3 linked regions of the Struthio camelus genome follow. The protein of the gene in region 2 purifies or fractionates together with the protein of the main gene of each other region. This does not show direct contact. Links are inferred from orthologs where the notes say so. Each region holds a gene or a part of one and is shown on either strand. Other genes may lie near its edges.

Region 1 (3,745 bases), on a different chromosome or scaffold from region 2:
TTTCTACACAGTTTTACTGATTTTTTTCTACCTCAGCTCTCCATTCAAACTTATCCTGGCCTCAGCTTTGTCTCAAGCACAGAGTATCCCCACTTCTCTTGATTTTAGCATAGCTCTCAAGCCTGCTGTCATCTGCTCAGCAGCTTGTAACGTATCAACACAATATAGTGAAGCAGTACTCCTCCACTAAAAGGCTGCAGCGGCTGGATGGAAATTTCCAAAGAGATGTTTAACGTCTGTACCTAAAACTTTTGAAGCTTGTCAGAAAAATGCAGGCTTTAGCCATGGTTCAGTGTTCCTACCCTACCAACAGTGCTCGGAGAGCACTGGCACTGACACTTCTGTGCCCATGGCACATTTTGTGCAGGGAGGTTTTTCTGTTTGTGTCACTACTCATGAGCCTATCTGAAACATTTTTCTCTCTGCTGCATCTCTAATAAACACACAACAGAGTCTGGGGACTGATCGTGTTTCAAAGCAGCCTCACTATGACCCCACTGCATGCTCCGTTTTCAACTTTCATGTTGGCAATCCAGCATTGGCTTATGACCATGCAAAAGAAGAATTTCTCCGGAGGGCTCTCTAGTTCCTTTTTCCTAAGGAACTAGGTTTCTTCAGGCTGAACCACCACACTAGGCAGGGCTTGCCCGGCTGGCGCTGTGCTTGGTAATGCTCTGCACAGGTTTAGCCCGCCCCTGCTTTAGAGGGCACAGGGCCTTCGCAACGGATGTCACTCACAAGGACGCAGGTCTGACACAGGCTCCCTCCAGCTCCATACCGCTGCTCCCACCGTGGCGCCTCAAGCAGCAGCTCCCCGTGCTGGCAGGCCCGAGGCTGGGGGGTGCGAGGTGACACAGGAAAACACCGCAGTGACAACGGCCGCGCCCGGACCCGCTAGGCAACGAGGTAAGGACCGAGCAGCCAGCACCCCTCACCCTAACCTGCAGCCCGCCGGCGGCGGCTCCCTCACCGGCCAGCCCGGGCGCCTCAGCAAACCTTTCTTCCCCACACCTGCCTGCCTGCCTGCCCCGACGGCTGCCGCAACGGCCGCCGCGGCGGCGCTGCAACGGCCGCCCGCGAGGCTCGCGCCCCCCCGGCCCCGCCCCTCTCCACGCCCTCTGCCGCCTTCCGGCCGCGGGAGGCGCAGTGCGGAAGGGACGCGGCGGGGCCGGAGCGGAAGTGAGGTGCCGCCGGCTCCCCCGGCGCGGAGCGGAGCGGGCGGCCACAGCGGCGGCGGCAGCAGCAGCAGGTGGCGCGGCCGGTGAGGGGGGCGCGGACGGCAGCGCCGGGACGGGGGTGGCGGGGGAGGGGGCCGCGCCCGTGAGCCAACCGCGGAGCCGGCCCGGCTGCCGCCGCTGCGGAGCTGGGGCCGCCGGGGCGCCGGCGGCGGCAGACAAGATGGAGGCGGCTCTGTCAGCGCCGCGGGGGCCGGGGAGGGGCTGCGCGCACGGTGCCCGGCTCCGCTGGGACGATGGGGGGGGGCGGCGGCGGCTGGTGTCCTCGTCCCTGCTGCCCGCCAAGGGAAGGGCGGCGGGGCCCCGGGGCGGGGGAGGATGGAGAGGGGTCAGCAGCTTGTTCCGTGTTGGAGGCGCAAAGTCCGTGTGGCCGTCCGGCGCAGAGGTTACCGGCGCTGAGCTCAAGGGAAGGAACAGGGCAGGAAACGCGCTCCCGGCTTCCAGCAGAAGCCTCCCTTCGTCATCTCTTTGCTCAGCTTAAGCCCTTAAAATTTGGCTCCTTGTGTGTTTCCTTAGTAGCCTAAGCCCTTAAAAATCTGCCCCGTCCCTCTGTTCTTTATGGTTTCTTCTTTTTCCCTTTTTATTTTAGAGGAAGCTCTTACCTTTATGGCTTTTAGGCAGTTTCACTAGTACAATACTGCAATGTCTCATTCATTGGCCGCTGCAGGGGAGGGTTTCAAGCCAAACAAAACCCTGCTTTCATTAAAACAACACCAGCAGGCTAACGTTTCTGTTTGATCTTTTAAAACCTCTTAACAGCTTTCCCAATTAAACTTCGCTGTCCTTTTGTACAAGGTCAGCATCAGTAAAGTTGTTGCAAAATTTGAAGCCTGCCCAGGCTTCTGGTCCCCTTCGTTCAACATTTAGCATATGAGTAAGACAGTTGTTCTGTGTTTGTGGAGACTAGAGGAGAATCGTGTTTTCTGTTCTTCTAATAAATCATGTTTGTTAAATATCATGAAAGAAATTCAAGTTGTCTCAGAGAAGCTTTTAAATAAACCTTCTGGAGTTTATTTATATGTCGATAATCACGTTCTTGAAACATGGTTATGTTGTCTTTAATTATTCCTTATATACCCTTGGAATATGAGATTAAAAAAAAAAAGCCTCATGAGGTAAAAAGAATGAGCGTGACACCTTTTTTATGTTAAACCCATACATTTCTTAGGAAAGGATGGAAGTCAGACCTGCTTTGCAGAAGGTATCCGGAAGCACAAGAAGCTTTCACTAACATCATCTTATGTTGGACAGGACTGCCTCTGATAAAGGCAAAATGGCTTTCAGTAAAGGATACCGTGTCTATCACAAGCTGGATCCACCTCCATTCAGTGTGATAGTGGAAACCAGAAACAGAGAAGAATGTCTCATGTTTGAATCTGGAGCGGTGGCTGTACTCTGTAAGTTGATATGTTTTGATAGCTACAATGTAAAAAGTTGGCTGACTTGATATTTTGTAAGCTATGTGTTTTTTATGTATGGATTATAAACAAGGAACAGCTATTCTGTTTTCTTACTTGCTAATGGTGAGGCTTCTGCTTTAAATGAAATGACAATTTCTTCTCATCTGTTGAGAGAGAATTTTGCACTTTAAATTAGATTTCAACATGAACATTTTTTTCATGTATGCTAAATTTTCTTGTAATAAGTTACAACAACATCTGTTTGTGCCTTTGGTTCAGAACAACTTTATCTGAATACGTGATAGCTCGGTGAAAAGTGAATTCTATATGTTGTACCTCATAATAAAAAGTTCTATGTTCTTAAATGGTATATCATCATAATTTTTATCTCATTTTATGTGATGACATTTTGATGGCTTTTTGATTTTTAGCTTTATTTTGCCCAGTATTTTTTCCCATCATCAGACTTGTTGTATATTAGTTCATCCTGTAATGAAATGAGTATATATTTGGAGCAAGGTGTTCTGCATTGCCAAGTCATTTTTACGTGTTTTCAGTGATAACTGCTTTAAATATTTCTAATAAATTCTTTGGCTTTAAAATTTTTTTTAAATCAGATTTGTAGGAGGACACTAAAATGAGAAGTGCGGAAGAGAACTGTCAAATAGTTAAGGTCTTACAATGTAGTTTGGTTTATATTTTTCAGTAAGGAAAAACTTGATTGCAAAGGGGTTTCCAGGCTTGCATTTGCCTTTTATAGAAGGCTGAGGTACCGTGGATGGGTTTTTTTTTTTTTTTGGAATCAATAACTTTTTTGATGAAAATCAATTGTGATGCCTGTTCATGATTTTCTAGCCTAGCATGCTCAGAAAATGAGAGGCTTGATTCACTGCCTGAAATCTGAGGAGCTCAAAGACACACCTCTCAGGAAGGTGCTCTGGCCTTGAGACTATGGAGTGGGCCGAATGGGGAATGCAATCTTAACAAGGTCTAGCGCTATGCTGCAAAAAAAAAAAAAAAACAAAAAAAAACTAGGGTTCATTAGGCTGAAGGTAGAAAAGTCCCATGGTTAAGTATATGCCTGAGAAAGGTAAATCTCAGGGTTTAATT
Region 2 (3,745 bases):
GTTACAGAGAATAAAAAATTGGAACTGTCGCACGTATTTAACTGAATTCTGAAAAAGTTAAAAACTGAAATAATGGGGTTCCAAAACTTCTCGAATTAATCAGTTCAACCGTGTGAAAAGTAGTGGCTCCTAAACCGCCGGATTCATGTTAATTCCTCATCCTCAGTCTCCACAGAAAGTATTTCACTCATCCTACTTAAAACAAAACCTTTTTTCCAACTTAAAAAAAAGTGTGGATCTGTTTTTCGCTTTTGATAAAGTGGCCTCAGTGGGAAAGTACAGCAAGAGCAGGAGAGAGGTTTGTCGTTTCTGTGGACAAGGAAACATGGCTATACAAGAGTTACGCTACGTCTCAACGGCACACCTGCCTTTTAGGGATCTCTTTGGTGGTCTTAACAATTACGCTCTTTCTTTCTTTTTGCAGAAGTTAAACATCCACCGATCCAAATCAAACACCGCGCGGATACATACCCACAAGACAGCGTAGTCGCAGGCGGTGCTGCACGTACCTCCTCTGAGCGCTGCCGCTGGCTTCCCCCCCCCTTAGCCTCCCATCAGGAGGAATAAATCGAGTGGGACCACAGCTATTTCTTGCCACATGTTGGCGGAGCGTCTCATGGGACCCGCACGGATCCTGAGCAGTTTCTTGATGTTATTTTCTACTCTTAATAACCATCAGGCAGCAAGGCCCAGCTGCCGCAGGAGGCCGCGGATGAAGCGCATCTCCGACAGCCGCCGAGGGAGCTTGGCCGAGGAAAAATTATTCTTTATTTGATACACAGTTGTTCTGAAACCGGCGTTCAAAAGCGACCGAGGGACGACGACTTTCTGTTGACCCTCCTCCGCCCAGACAGCGAAAGGCGGGTGGATTTTCAGCGTCTGAAGCGGCATCTGACAGCGGACGCCGGGGCTAACAACGCCCTGAGGCAGCAGGCTGCCGCACAGGCGGGCGTTAAACCGCCACCCCCGCCGCGCCGGGGGGCGGGGGAGCGGGTCGGCCCGCTACTCGAGGCGGGAATTGGAAGGCAAACGCTGACTAGAAAGAGAAAACGCTGCGGGGCCCGCTACCCGCGGGTGCGTCCGTCCCTTCCTCCCTCCCCGCCTGGCTCGGGCCCTGGCGAGGAGGCCGCGGAGGAGCGGCGGCCGGGCGGTGCCAGCGGGAGCCGGGCGCGGCGGGGGCAGGGCGGCAGGGGGCTGCGGGGAGGGGGCACCGCCGCGCCGATACATTAGCCGCCGCCTGCCCAGCAGCCGGCGCTGCCTGCTGAGCCGCCCAACGGCCCCCAGGCGGCGGCGGTGACGGTGGTGGCGGTGACGACGACGACGGGGGGGGACGCTGAGGAGGAGCTGCCTGCGCGGCCCAGCGGGCGGGCGGGCCGGACACAGCGAGCGAGCAACCGCGGCGGGGAGGGGAGGGGAGGGGAGGAGAGAGCGGAGCGGCGGCCGGGCCGGGCCCGGATCGCACCGCACCGGCAGCGCCATGGCCACCAAGGTGAGCAGCCGGCGGCGCCCCCTGCGCCGAGCAGGCCCCGCGGAGGGGGCTCGGCGGGCGGTGACCCCCTGTGGGGGCGGCGGGAGGCACCGTGTGGGCCACGGCCGCGTTTCGGGGCCCGGAGGGAGGGAAGGAGCGGGGGGTGGGGTGGGGGGGCAGTGCCCTCGCCGCGGGGGCTGGCGGAGGTCCCGCTTCCCCGCCCGGGCCTCGGCCGCCGGGGCAGCGCCAACTCCGGCCAAGGGGGAAAAGTTGCCTTCGGCTGCGTTTCCGCCCGCTGCCCCCCGTCCCTCGGCGGGGCGGCGAGGCCGGCGGCGGCCTGGGAAGGGGCGAGGTGCGGGGCCGGCCTGGCCCTGGCCCTGGCGGCCTCGCACTGCGGGGCGGAGGGAGAGATGTGTAACCCGCCCCCCCTGCGGTGTTGTCGCGTACCTGCCCGACAAAATAAGGTTACCGAAGGGGAGGCCGTAAGTGGTGTTTCCGAGCGGCTGATAAAAAACCTGCTCGGTGGTCATCAGGCACAGGGGCGTGCTGTGGGTGGGTGTTTTTTTTTTTTCTTTCCCCCAGTGGGAGTCTCAAGTCTGTAGTTTGCGACTTGTTAATAATAGGGTCCATTAAAAAAAAAATTGCAGGAAGTGAAATTGTTTTGCTCTGTTCTTCAACAGTGTCTGTTGTTAATGTAGCTATCAAAATTAGTACATCCTATCCGAAACTGATCTCTTTCTAAATTAGCAATATTTATTTACTATATTAGTGGATGAAAGTGGTAAAACTGGCTTGCCTCTGCTTTGTGTAGGTGTGAGTTAACATCCACAAACAAATGTCATCTGTAAGTTGTCTAAATATTGCAGAAAGCTTTCTGGTATTTGAAGTAGTGCTTTCAGATTCGCCTGATTCAATAAACTTGGCCTGTAGTTTAAAAAACTTCCTTTAATAAAAACTGTTCTCGGGCACGACATCATTTATTCATACTGTATTTCTCAGTATTTGGGAAATCCGTATCTTAAATATATTGAACCTCATATATATGTAGCAGTCTCAGTAACCATTGAAGCAGATGGTTATTCATGCTCTAGTAACATTTTTTTTAGAAGCACAGAAGAAAGTGGTTTAGGCTTCAAAATCATTTAGACACTTCAAGAAGTATTAGTATAGTGAACTCTGTGTTCCTGTGTGCTCAGGTTTTAGAATATTGTTAACGGACTCAGTGTTAATATTGGCTGTTTCCACAGAGTTGTGGGGTGTGTGTATGAATAACATGTAAACACATGTAGCTATGGCAGGTAGTAAGAAAAGTTCAATTGCATACTATTATGCACATATATAGAAGTAATGCATATTATCTGCTAAGCATTTGGAATATGATACTGTTTATCATCTAATCTTGAGGACGTGCGGGACTGCTTATTCTGTGCCTAATTAATGAAGTCATTTTATTCATACATTTGGAAACTTGCACTTTGATTTTTCTTGAAATAAACTTTTGGAGTCGTGGCCTCAGAATGATGGGTATGTGAGTTCTGACTTGCTAGCAGTACTTTATTGAAATTAGGTGAGGAAGATGCAAGTATTTGGGTTTTTTTTTTATTCTACACTTTGCAAGTTATGGTAATTTACTTTAACTTGAAGGCTGATGTAAGGAAATGATAGTTAGCAAAGACTTTTTTATTTTGATATACTGATAACAGAGCAGAAGCTGACCTTATTTTCTGTAAGCTTGACCCATAAGGTATGTCACTCTCTGCTAATTATCCTATTCTGGATTTTAATTGGTTAAACTTTTTATAATGTCAGCTGTAAAAAAAAAAAAAAAAAAAAAAAAAAAAATTTTTCCTCCCCTCAACAGTGCAAGGGAGTGACTGACAATAAACAGTGTTTAGGAACTCGGCCAACTAACCAGTTACTATTTCACTCGAAAAATAAGATTTATTTTTTTTTAATTGTAAACAAACTTCCCACCTTCTACTTCCTCTCCTTCCAAAATAGTTTAGTTCTATAAGAAATACACAGTATGTTGGAGTTGCACATAGAACATTAACAAGGCTAAACTATGATTAGTCTCTTGGACTGTGAATTTCTCAAACTTCAGTGGCATTTGAACCTACACACCTGGCAGAGATATCTGGCAATCAGGTCTGCCTGTACTGTGCAGGCTATTAGTATTTCTTGAATTAATTCATGTTTTACCTAGAATATATTTCCAGAGGTGAGGAGGGGTTCAATCTAGATTTGCACTGTTTCAGTAATTGAAAATCCAGCCTG
Region 3 (3,745 bases), on a different chromosome or scaffold from region 2:
TCTTAGAGCTGTTTGAAAAATGACTTCTTTCTAATAACATGTGCATGCCTAATAAAAATATTCCCATCTTTCCTAGGAGGTGGGAAAGTTATGCCCTGGCTGTTCTTGGCCTTGCTTTTGGGAGAGCAGCTTTTCTTAAGTGATGCAGCAGTTGGGTGAGTGTGGCCACTTAGCAGCCTTAGCTCAGCTTGGACAGAAAAAATGTTTGGTTTGGAAATTGCACAGGTTTGGAGGAATAACTTAATCTTTTACTAATAGTAGATATTTTCTTTAAAAAAAAAAAACCCAAGAACTTAAAAAAAAAATCGTGGAAGCAAAGATGTAGTTTAAAAACCTAACGGAGAGGACTGCTCCTGGGGTTATTAATTGCAAGGTGCGCATAGCATCGCTCCCAAGGGTTCCTGCCTTTTTTTTTTTTTTTTTTAAGCGTTCACGCTCGTCTCTGGTGTAGATGCGGCCCTACAGCCAGGCTGCCCTTTTACTGATCTTAATTGTTTCAGCGAGGGCAGTACGAAGGGCTCCTCTGCTCAGACAGTGTGACGAGGATTTTGCCAGAGTGCAACGCTGTGATCCCTCAATCCCAGCCTCAGTAGAAACCCATTAGTCGGAAAGCAGCCAAAAAGCTACTCTAACACCTCCTGGCACAGCCAGCTCAGTCAGGAGTGTGGAAGGGGGGAAATTGTGCTGCTAATTGGCATAATTATGTCAATAACCCCCAGGCTCCACGTAGCTAGAAATGATGACAACGTGGTGTGTCCCAGCGAGGCGGTGAGAGCCGGAGCGCCCCGCTAAGCGCGCCGCGGGGCTGCTGCGTTCGCCCCCGCCGCCGCCACCGGTCTGCGCGACGGGATCGCCTGATCCCCCCGACGGGATCGCCTGATCCCCCCGACGGCTGGCGGCCGCCGTTCGCCGTGACGCAGAGGGCAGCCTCTGCAGAGCCTCTGCTCTGGGTGTTTTTGTGCCGTGACTGCGGCCGGTAATCACGGACACGTCTCGTCTCCGCTCTTTGCCTCTCCTTTCTGCTTGCTCCCGCTATGCGTTTCTAATTAAACTGACGGCAGCTCTTTCCCTGGGTGCAAACGGTCTCCGGCGGGAAACGGCACGTCCCCTAAGCCGGTGAGTGATCCCCCCCGAGGCTCTGTCTGCTCGTCCCCGTGTCCCCACCGGTGGGGGGGGGGGGTGCCCTTGGCCGGTGTCCGCCCCCCCGGGGGCCGCGGCGCTGCCTCTGCTGCGCGCTGCCGCCCGGGCCCGGGCCCGCGCCGCGCGGGGGGGGGCGTGGCCGCGCCGGGTGGGGGGCGTGGCCGGGTGGAGGGGCGTGGCGGCGGCCGGCAGAGGCCCCGCCTCCGGGCTGCGGGTGCGGCGCATGCGCAGTGCGCCGGCCGTTACCTGTCAGCTGCGGCGGCGGGGACGGCGGCGGCGGCGGCGGGATGGAGGGGCTCATCCCGCTCGTCAACCGGCTGCAGGACGCCTTCGCGGCGCTGGGCCAGAACTGCCTGCTGGACCTGCCGCAGATTGCGGTGGTGGGCGGGCAGAGCGCGGGCAAGAGCTCGGTGCTGGAGAACTGCGTCTCCAGGTGAGGCGGAGGGCGGCGGGTATCGGGACGCCCCCGCCTCCCCCAACGGCTACCCCCCCTCCCCCCAACGGCTGCCGGCCGCCCTAACGGTCCCCTCAGCGCGCGCCCCCGGCGGCGCTGCCCCCCCCCTCCCCCCAACCGCCCTGAGCCCGGGCGGCGGCGGCGCGGGGGCTGGAGCTGCGCGGGGTGAGGGGGGTTCCCGGCTCCGCCCGGACCGGGGATGCTCGGTGACAGCCGCTCCCCGCGGCGGGGGGGTTGGGGGGGGCGGGCACGGCGCTGCGGCGTCCTTGGGGGAGGATGCTGATGGCCGTGCTGCGGGAAAGCCAGCGCAACTTTCCCGTGAGCCGCTTCCTGTGTATAGTGGGGCGGTTAATCTGGGAAAAGCTGTTTTTAAAAAAAAACCAAAAAACAAAAAACAAACCGAACCTAACCGTGGCGGGGGTTCTGGGTTTTGTTGGTTAAGGCTTAATGGTTGCTTAATGTTGTTAATGCTTACGATTCATGTATTCCGTTTTATGCACGCACGGGCATAGCATCTTTCTTTACAATTGCCCTAAAAGGAGAGAGAAAGCCTGAAGATTCAGCTGGTCCAGTCAATGGATTGACTGTAGATCTCTTGACTGTAGATCTCTGAAGATCTCTTGAGATAAACATGAACTTAAGTGTCGCTTCATGAAGTTCTGCCGTATTTGCTATGAATTGTTGTTTGCAGGCTCTTAGAGACTGTGTTTTCAGAGCATAGCCACAATCGTTGGTCTGTATATGGGGTCAGAAGTACTATTCTGTCAGTGATTTGTGAACTTCCACGTGCCGGCGTCTTCATTAAAAATAAGATAAAGTGCTTTATCTCTAAAAATAAGATTAAGCGCATACGTCAAAGTGCAATACCTCTTGATACACAGTATAAAAAATATTCATATAGTTGTTGTTTCTATATCTCCGTTTCAGATTTTACTCTCACTGTGTTAAATTTCAGTTCTTCCTCTTCCCTCTGTGTGAAGGCTATAGCTAATTACTGATGTTGACAATATTGTGAGTCTCTGGAGTTTAGAAAGCACGAATGAAGTCCTCAGAAATCACTATTGGCCATCACGTTGTTAGACTTTTCTTTAAACAAGTCTTTACAATGTATTTTTGTCACCTTTGAGATCTTGATCTATCTGTCCGCAAAGCTCTGCAAAACCTATGTGCTGGGGAAAGGCAATCTTCACGCCTCTGGTGAAATAGATATGCGGTCTCTGCCTCGGAGACTTGTCTGGGGCAGCACCCGTCTGGGACCGGGTCTGAGGGTGGAAGGCTGTGGACGGATGTCTTTGTCTGGATGCAGCTGTGCTGCTGGAAGGGGTTAGTGCTCCCAGATGCTTGTTGCTCCGCTGCTAGAGGGTTCTGCTCCATCTGATCCGCAGGTGGAGCTGTTGCTTTGAGTGCGGCCCCCTCTCGTCTCCCCCGAGGTGAGCCAGGCTAGAGCAAAAGGTATAAATGGGAAGTCTACACTAGCTAACCCGACTCGTTTGGACAAAAGTGGGCTAGGGCCTGCTGCACAAGGGAGACAGACTTCTAGCAAGAATTATGAAGGAATGCTAGGGGCAATTATTTTTTTCACTTACATGGTTATTTACTCTGCACCTCACAGATACTACAAGAGAGTCCCTTCCCTGAAGATTTACACGCTAGTGTGAGGTACTACAGTGTTTTTGTGATGCAGGAGCTGGAATATGGATACGTGATTGTTCCGTGGAGTAACTTGTTGAGATACAATATCAATGGTACTTTCCTATTTGCCAGTTTGGAGCCTCTTACAAATAAGAGATTAAAATGCATTACTTTAAATCCATTTCCATGAAATTCAAGCAAATATATTTTACTCATGGCTTTACTCCAGGCAAAGTGAGTATGTGTGGTCAGCAGATGAGTGGTTACTTGCTAAGCTGTGAGAAGTTGATTGTGAACCAGATGAGCAAATATCCATGAGATGGGGAGGGCATTTTGGTCGTCAGATCAGCAGGCAAAGCAGTCTGCAGCTCTTCTTCCTATGCTGTAAGACGTTCCTGTTTTTACAGGTATTCAGGTGACACCTTTGATAATGAAGTTGCTTTCTGAAAACAAGAAGTTTATTACGTACATGTCCTTCTTAATATGGCCAATACAGGTAGCATGTCTCATTGTAGGGAC

What was found.
Region 1: the proteins of SNX9 (region 2) and SYNJ1 purify together in Homo sapiens (co-immunoprecipitation; 3 studies listed by BioGRID and IntAct, counting the BioPlex papers as one, with this or other methods). This does not show direct contact. The link is inferred for Struthio camelus from reciprocal best matches to the Homo sapiens genes SNX9 and SYNJ1.
Region 3: the proteins of SNX9 (region 2) and DNM3 purify together in Homo sapiens (co-immunoprecipitation; 3 studies listed by BioGRID and IntAct, counting the BioPlex papers as one, with this or other methods). This does not show direct contact. The link is inferred for Struthio camelus from reciprocal best matches to the Homo sapiens genes SNX9 and DNM3.

The regions. Positions count from the first base shown.
Region 1 is NC_090942.1:120,015,394-120,019,138, reverse strand, and holds the start of SYNJ1 (synaptojanin-1), read left to right. Parts: upstream 1-1,143; 5' UTR 1,144-1,261; intron 1,262-2,403; 5' UTR 2,404-2,475; coding exon 2,476-2,632; intron 2,633-3,745. UniProt on the Homo sapiens protein: Phosphatase that acts on various phosphoinositides, including phosphatidylinositol 4-phosphate, phosphatidylinositol (4,5)-bisphosphate and phosphatidylinositol (3,4,5)-trisphosphate. Has a role in clathrin-mediated endocytosis.
Region 2 is NC_090944.1:77,914,780-77,918,524, reverse strand, and holds the start of SNX9 (sorting nexin-9), read left to right. Parts: upstream 1-1,303; 5' UTR 1,304-1,477; coding exon 1,478-1,489; intron 1,490-3,745. UniProt on the Homo sapiens protein: Involved in endocytosis and intracellular vesicle trafficking, both during interphase and at the end of mitosis. Required for efficient progress through mitosis and cytokinesis. Required for normal formation of the cleavage furrow at the end of mitosis.
Region 3 is NC_090949.1:8,700,578-8,704,322, forward strand, and holds the start of DNM3 (dynamin-3), read left to right. Parts: upstream 1-1,352; 5' UTR 1,353-1,427; coding exon 1,428-1,573; intron 1,574-3,745. UniProt on the Homo sapiens protein: Microtubule-associated force-producing protein involved in producing microtubule bundles and able to bind and hydrolyze GTP. Most probably involved in vesicular trafficking processes, in particular endocytosis.